Linked DNA regions of Cricetulus griseus. The protein of the gene in region 1 interacts with the protein of each later gene in a biochemical or structural test. Links are inferred from orthologs where the notes say so. Each region holds a gene or a part of one and is shown on either strand. Other genes may lie near its edges.

Evidence for each region.
Region 2: the proteins of Cckbr (region 1) and Cck form a complex in vitro, tested with the Homo sapiens proteins (3 studies listed by BioGRID). The link is inferred for Cricetulus griseus from reciprocal best matches to the Homo sapiens genes CCKBR and CCK.

Annotation. Positions count from the first base shown.
Region 1 is NC_048596.1:94,266,956-94,270,455, reverse strand, and holds part of Cckbr (gastrin/cholecystokinin type B receptor), read left to right. Parts: intron 1-1,113; coding exon 1,114-1,365; intron 1,366-1,520; coding exon 1,521-1,770; intron 1,771-2,050; coding exon 2,051-2,220; intron 2,221-2,272; coding exon 2,273-2,943; 3' UTR 2,944-3,500. UniProt on the Homo sapiens protein: Receptor for gastrin and cholecystokinin. The CCK-B receptors occur throughout the central nervous system where they modulate anxiety, analgesia, arousal, and neuroleptic activity.
Region 2 is NC_048597.1:228,506,700-228,510,919, forward strand, and holds the start of Cck (cholecystokinin), read right to left. Parts: upstream 2,801-4,220; coding exon 2,587-2,800; intron 1-2,586. UniProt on the Homo sapiens protein: This peptide hormone induces gall bladder contraction and the release of pancreatic enzymes in the gut. Its function in the brain is not clear.

The sequences.
Region 1 (3,500 bases):
ACTCTCCGAGCCCTTCTGACTCACCCAGCAGCACTGGTTCCCTCCTGGGGATCCCACAGCCTCTTGTACATCTCTCAACCTCACTTCCTATAAAACGGTATGGCAATTTTCTGTGTAAGTATCTCAGATTCCCTCTTTACTGAAAGTTCTCAAATGGCAGGGAGTTTGTCAGTCACCTTTTTGTCCCCAGTGCCTGACACAAAGGGAGTCCTCTGCAAGAGTTTACAGAGTAAGAATGAATGTTTGAAGATTACTAAAGCACAACTCAGAGAGGAAAAGGGGGTTCTAATAAGTATGTAGGGAACATGGAACAGGCATGGGACAAAAAAGTGGGAGACTAGTTCCAAATGTGGTGCTTTCCAAAGCAGTGGCAATCAAGCTGATTCTTGGTAGATGAGGGATTTATAGGCATTTACCAGATTTAAGAAATGTTTGCTTTGGGGGGTGGAAGTAGGGGGTTTATGAGAGAATATTCATTCCAAGGATGAGAAATCAGCTTAAGAAGGGAGTCACAAGTGTTCATGATGCATTCAAGAAACTGAGTCATCAAGTGGCTTGAGTAAGTGCAGCTCTGAGAGGAGGTGCAGTCCTGAAGGAGGGGTTGTAGATAGTACAGAGTAATGAATGGCTTTTCTCTTTTTTTAGTTGAGGAAGGGCTGTTTTGGTTTTGTTTTCTGTTTGTTTAGAGAACACAGACATGATCCAACATGGTTCTAAGGGGAATGGCTGGTCAAGGGTACATGAAAGTATGATGGAATGGGCAGAGAAGGACCTTTCAATCTGGTATCTACAGATTAGTGATCTTGAGAAGTAGCCAACCAGTGATAGGGATAGGTCCTTAAAGTGTTTGCAAAGAAGAGCAATTATGGAGCCAACCATAAGGAGAGACAGGATTCTAAGAAATAGTAGTGTTGGGCCAACTCAGTTAAGCATTTATGATGGTAAGGCATTTACTGTCATCATTTACTACATAGCCTCTTAGGGTTAACAAGAGTGTTCTCAGGGTGCCAGGATCTAACCAGATATTATGGCTTGGGAATGAGGTGGAATTGGGGATCTGGATGAATGGTGCTCAAATCCTCCTACAACCAGCTTTCTCTCTTTTCTGCCTAGAATTGGAGCTGGCCATTAGAGTCACTCTTTATGCTGTGATCTTTCTGACGAGTGTCGGAGGAAATGTGCTCATCATTGTGGTCCTGGGACTGAGCCGGCGCCTGAGAACTGTCACCAATGCCTTCCTGCTCTCCCTGGCAGTCAGTGACCTCTTGCTGGCTGTGGCTTGCATGCCCTTCACACTCCTGCCCAACCTCATGGGCACATTCATCTTCGGCACAGTCATTTGCAAGGCGGTTTCCTACCTCATGGGTAGGTGAGATAAACACATTTCCCTCTTAGTCCTCTCCCTTCTTAAAGTACTTGACAAATACAAAAGTTTTCCCTGATGGGGGTGGAGGAAATCATACTGGTGAGCATGTAGGATGTTTGTTTCCAAGGTGACCATTTCTTCTCACCTTGCTTAGGAGTGTCAGTGAGTGTGTCCACGCTAAATCTCGTGGCCATAGCCCTGGAGCGGTACAGCGCCATCTGCAGACCACTGCAAGCACGAGTGTGGCAGACACGCTCCCATGCAGCGCGGGTGATATTAGCCACGTGGCTTCTGTCAGGATTGCTTATGGTACCTTATCCTGTGTACACCGCCGTGCATCCAGTGGGGCCTCGAGTGCTGCAATGCGTGCATCACTGGCCCAGCGCGCGTGTCCGCCAAACCTGGTGAGGGCACCCACCAGCCTATCTTAGGAGGCCCTTTTCCCATCTTCATCAGATGCTTACACTCCTTCCCCAGAGCAGTCCCCCAGCTCCTCCAAGAATTTTCCCACTAAGCCCCATTCTGCACCCCCACATTTGGGATTCCAATTTGGGGCCCCTTGCCAGCGTCACCTCCCAACACTACCTCTGCCTCGGCCACCCGGACACAGTCCAGTTTTTGGCTCTTCCTCTACCTGTAACTGGCTGCACAGGAGATTGTGATTGCTCTGTGTTATGTCTCCAGGTCAGTACTGCTCCTGTTGTTCCTTTTCTTCATCCCGGGAGTGGTTATGGCTGTGGCCTATGGGCTCATTTCTCGCGAGCTCTACCTTGGGCTTCGCTTTGATGGTGATGATAGTGACACCCAAAGCCGGGTCCGAAACCAAGGAGGCCTGCCCGGTGGGGCAGCACCAGGTGGGTGAAATGCATGACGGTGGGGCTTTGGTGATGGACATAATCTCCTTAGTGGGTGGATCTGAAAGAAGTGTAGAAAGGAGGCAGGAGCCCAGGGTAAAAGCTGTGGGGAAGGGGCGTCGAGTAAAAGTTGGACTGAGATTGGCATCTGCCTTCTGCTTTGATCGTACCCTTTGTGTTCTGTGCTCAGGGCCTGTCCACCAGAATGGGGCTTGCCGGCCTGAGACTACCCAGGCTGGGGAAGACAGTGATGGTTGCTACGTGCAACTTCCGCGTTCCAGACTGGAGATGACAGCTCTGACCACGCCCACTCCTGGGCCAGGCCCGGGCTCTCGACCCATCCAGGCCAAGCTGCTGGCTAAGAAAAGAGTGGTGCGAATGCTGCTGGTGATTGTTGTGCTTTTCTTCCTGTGTTGGCTGCCAGTGTACAGTGCCAACACGTGGCGTGCCTTCGATGGCCCAGGGGCACACCGAGCACTCTCAGGGGCCCCTATCTCTTTCATTCACTTGCTGAGTTACGCTTCTGCCTGTGTCAACCCCCTGGTCTACTGTTTCATGCACCGCCGCTTTCGCCAGGCCTGCCTGGACACATGTGCACGCTGTTGTCCACGGCCTCCACGAGCTCATCCCCGGCCTCTTCCGGATGAGGATCCTCCTACTCCCTCCATTGCTTCACTGTCCAGGCTAAGCTATACCACCATCAGCACACTGGGACCTGGCTGAAGGGTTGAGTGTGTGGAGGGTGAGACAAGACACATGATCCCTATAAACTGACCCATCCAAAATCATGAAACACACCAGGACTAATCCAGGTGGACATCCAACAGCATGGAGAGACCCCTACACACAGAAAATGCTCTTTGCTGCTCCACCTGAAACAGATAGTCTTGCACAGGAAAGAAGGCACACTTTTGATATGGGACTGAGTCCCACCCTAGGCACGTGGCACTGACCCCACTGGATAGACAACCGACAATGTCTGCAGCAGTGAATTTCTTCACACATGGGAGCTCTGACAAGGGCTGACTGGCTCCTCAAATGTATACATTAATGGCACTATTCTGTAGTGCCCATAGCCTAGTGTAAGACTGACTTAGGACATTGCAGACTGTCCCCATTTTGACCTCATCATTCCCTTCCTCACCCAGCATTGAAAATATCAATAGGATTAATCACATACCTTCCCAACGTGCAGACCTTTCAGCAATGAAAAGCCCCCTCATCCTTCTCCATTAGGGACTCTGGCCCTGCCCCTCTTCCTTCACCAGACCACCTCATAA
Region 2 (4,220 bases), on another chromosome or scaffold:
TCCTACACAGATCTGTCCTCAGGCATGTTGTTATCACCCTCCATCCATCGCCAGCACTACACAGCGAAGGGGCTTAGAGTGGTCTGAGACAAAGTGATCTGACTCCTGCAGCAGGTGAGCTGGGAACCGTATGGCCTCCAGGCCGCGGCGTAAGTCAAACCTGTATAGACTCCTGCTGCCTCCTAGATGCACCAATGTGTGCACAGATGGCATTTGCCTTCTTTAGCACAGGCTTCATAAGTGAAAGACAGTGAGATAGATGCTCATGTGAAGAAAGGTTTTAAGGCTTGAGAGAGATGCATGGAGAGAGCATTGGATGCTAGTGCCATTGATGCCTCCCCACCTCCCACGGGAACACACTTCCCCCTGGACCACCAATGCCTCCCCACCTCCCACGGGAACACACTTCCCTCTGGACCACCAGTGCCTCCCCACCTTCCACAGGAATGAATAGGCTTCCTCTGGGACCACTGAGGGCTCTGCAGACAAGCTCTAAAGATAAGCTTGGTTTTATTTCATATTTTACTTTTTGTTTTTAAATATGAGATCTTACATAGCCCAAGCTGGCCTCAAACTTGCTGCACAGCAGAGGCTAGCTTTGAACTGGTCCACCCACCCCCACCTCCCGATGCTAGGATTACAGGCTGGGTGTCATGTGGTGTGAGAGTTGAACTCAGGATTTTGTGCATTCTAGGCCAGTCTACCAGCTAAAGCCAAGCCCCAATCACTCAAAAAAGTATCTCGTCTAGAGTCTTTAAGAATAGTATGTATTATAGTTGAATAAAAAATCATTTATAAAATATTCAGAGAAATTGTGCAGTATTGACAATATTGATCCTGAGTTTATATTTTGTCAAAAAGTGGGCATCACTCTTCTATACTTAGCCCTGACCCTGGGTGTGAGCAAACCAACTTTCAAATGAAGGCTACTCCTTTCTGGGCTCAGTGGGTCCAACAGGCTGAGGGGAGACAGGGTCTGAGAAGAGAGCTCGGAGTGGCTTCCAGCTGCTGGGAAAACCACTGTCATGTGTTGGTTCTAGGCAATAATTCAGCAACCAGGCTTTCTGTTGCTAGAACTGCTCGGGCATTCCCAAACTCAGGCCAAAGGTTCTATAGACTGACAGCTCACTGAAGAGTCTAGAAAAGTCTAAAATACTTCAGAAGGGTCTGCTGGCCCACATCAGAAGGAATGGGGAGGGGGCATCCCACGTTCCCAGGTTTTCTTATTACCTGGTGTGTATGTGTGTATGTGTGTGTGTGCATGTATGTATGTATGTATGTATGTATGTATGTATGTATGTATGTGTCTGTATGTGTGTATGTATGCATTTCTCTCTCTCTCTCTCTCTCTCTCTCTCTCTCTCTCTCTCTCTCTCTCTCTCTCTCTCTCTCTCATCTCTCCCTCCCTCCATTGAATTAGCAGGAAAACAACCTAGAAAGGGATGGCTGTGGGGTGAGTTCCCAAACAGGAAGAAACATAAGAAATCTCTTGATTCCCCTGAAGTCCCCTGGTCGCATCTTCATGGGGGACTCTAGGAAACTCAACCAAGTTCCCCAGTTCCCCCTCACTAGTCAAGCCCAATGCCCTGGGCTGTTCAAATCAGACAGGACACGTTGAGTAAATGAGCTCCACAGAACAAAGGGCCCACCTTCGAAAGTTAAATCTCACTCTACTGGTCCAGTTTAACACACCCCAGCCAGAAGTCACCATCCATGTCCCTGCTGATAAAGTCAGATGAAAGCTGTCTTGGTGGCAGCCATGACTCCCGAGCTGGGAGAGGATCTGGTCTGCGCTGTCCCCATCGCCTCTCTGAAGATGAGAGATTTGGGTACAGGAGAGGAACCCTCAACTGGCAAGCTGCTGAATAGCCCACGGGGATCGTGGGGGGGGGGCGGCTTCCAATATTGAGAAGATCCCTGAGGTGGTCAGCATGGTGGCCACCTTTCTGACAGCTATAGAAACGTAAGACACAGCTTTCACTCTGTGGCCATCCTGACTGGGCAGTCAAGGGAACTCCAGCTGCTCTTTGACCCTTACCTCCTGCGCCATACAGGGGGACATGTACACAGTGCCAGCTACGTGTCTCAAGTCTCAGGTTTTCTCAGCACTGACCTATTTCACGCCAGAGGGGTCCCGAGGGTCAGTGTCTGGGTGGTCCCCAGTCCTGCTGTATATACAGCACAGAGGAGAGGGCGGATCTGGAGACTCTTACCAGCACTTTGTGTGTGTGTGTGTGTGTGTGTGTGTGTGTGTGTGTGTGTGTGTGTGTGTGTGTGTGTGTGTGTGTTTTCCTAAAGCGGTGTTGGACTTCAACCCTAATACAGTGCCGAAGTCAGTTCCGAGAAGGGTTAGCCCGCTCCTCTTACCCACGCGGTAAGCCCTCCACCCATCTCCCCTCTTGGGTGCTGAGAACACCACCTGCTGATGCCACAGTGCGGTGCAGAGTACCTCAGGGAAGGAAAGAGAGAATCTTGCTCCTCGTGTGCTCTGGTTTCCTCCTCTTCCCTGCAGGTGCTTTGGAGATCAGGAATGGGAACCCAGACCGCAGCAGCAGCCGCCGCGTGAGGCAGAGCGGACATCCTTACCTTTGCGTGCCTGCTGAATGTATCGTGCGAGCAGTGCGCCCAGGCGCGCTCGGGGCTCGCCGTCGGTCCTGAGCACCGCCCTCAGCTGCCTTCGGGGGGCCTCCTCTGCCCGCTGCACCGCCGACTCCGCGGCTTCTGCTGGTGCCACTGGCTGCGCCAGGGCGCCTGCAGCCAGGACTGCCATCAGGACGCACAGACACACGCTGCTCTTCATGGCTGTGGGGAGCGGAGGCGAGGGTCATGAACCAAGGGCTGAGCTCGGCGGGCTGCAGCCAAAAGTCCCGCACACGAAGTCCGCCGAGGCTGAACGCGGGGCTGTGGCCGCCAGCCTGGCTCATGCCCTAGAACTAGTCAAGTCCAGTCCTTGGCTGCGCCCTGGCCACCGCGCGCCTGGGGACACTTCTGCCTGGCTTTTGTGTTATCCACACCCAGGGCCCGGGAATCCCGCACAGACCCCATTTACTTCCAGGTTCAGAAGCAGTGCCTCCTGCTTTCCTGAAGTTAGAGGGCACCTTTATAGCCCATCTCTCTTCTAACCAGAAAACACAGAGTGGGTGAGTGGGTCACACACACACACACACACACACACACACACACACACACACGAGAGAGAGAGAGAGACAGAGAGAGACAGAGAGACAGAGAGAGACAGAGAGAGACAGACAGACAGAGACAGAGACAGAGACAGAGAGGCAGAATGCAGAGAAATGCAGGTTAAAAGCCGTCTCTACAGAAATGAATGGGACGACAATGGGAAGCGGTTTAAAGTATGGGTGCATAAATAGAAGCTGTGTTTATAGAGGTTCCTCGGTGTTTCTATGGGGACGAACAAGAAGTCACTATGCAAAAGAAAACCCAGAACTCTGTGCCCAGTCCTGAGTTGTGGCCAAAGCCCCACCACATTTGCAAACCGACCTAGAACTGACCTGATGGGACCTGCACCGTCCTAACGATGTCTTTCTAGCCACAAAGCCTTAGTTTTTTTTCCTGCATCATTTAGAAAATGAATGTGTCTTAAAACCTCTTGGCATTCCCTTTTAAATGATTGCAAAGTGATCCGAACATCGTGGGAACCCTAAGAAATGGCTATCCCAGCCTTGCCATTAGACAGCACACAGAGGAATAAAGTCTCCACGCAGCAGTACCCACCCAGGCGCATCTTAAAATCCAGAGCCATTATTTCTGACTTCAGGAAATCTTCCCAGCTGTCAAAGGAGGGAAGGCACAGAAAACAGAAAGATGATACGGCCAGGACGCAAAGCTACGGGCCAGTATTCTTCACACCCGTAATTCTTGGATGGGCCAGCACAGACACCGACTTACCTTTGACGGGGGATCAGCTGGCTTGGCGGATTCCAGCAGAGCAGGCTGCAGTCCAGCCAAGTTCAGGGCAGACTGGAGGGCGGCTGCCTCTTAAATAGCCCCGCCCGGCGCGCAGCCAGTCATCTGTTTACCCAGTGCTGACGCAGTCCGGCAGGACGCTTGCTCAGAAGGCGGCCACTGGCGCGACCACCGATTGAAGTGGCCCTGGAGAAAAGGGAAAGGGCTCAGTGAACGAGGACAGCCCCTCCCAGGCGGGGTACCTCGTATGGCATCTCCTCTTTACCTAGAGAGCTTCCTTCCCACCTGTCCAG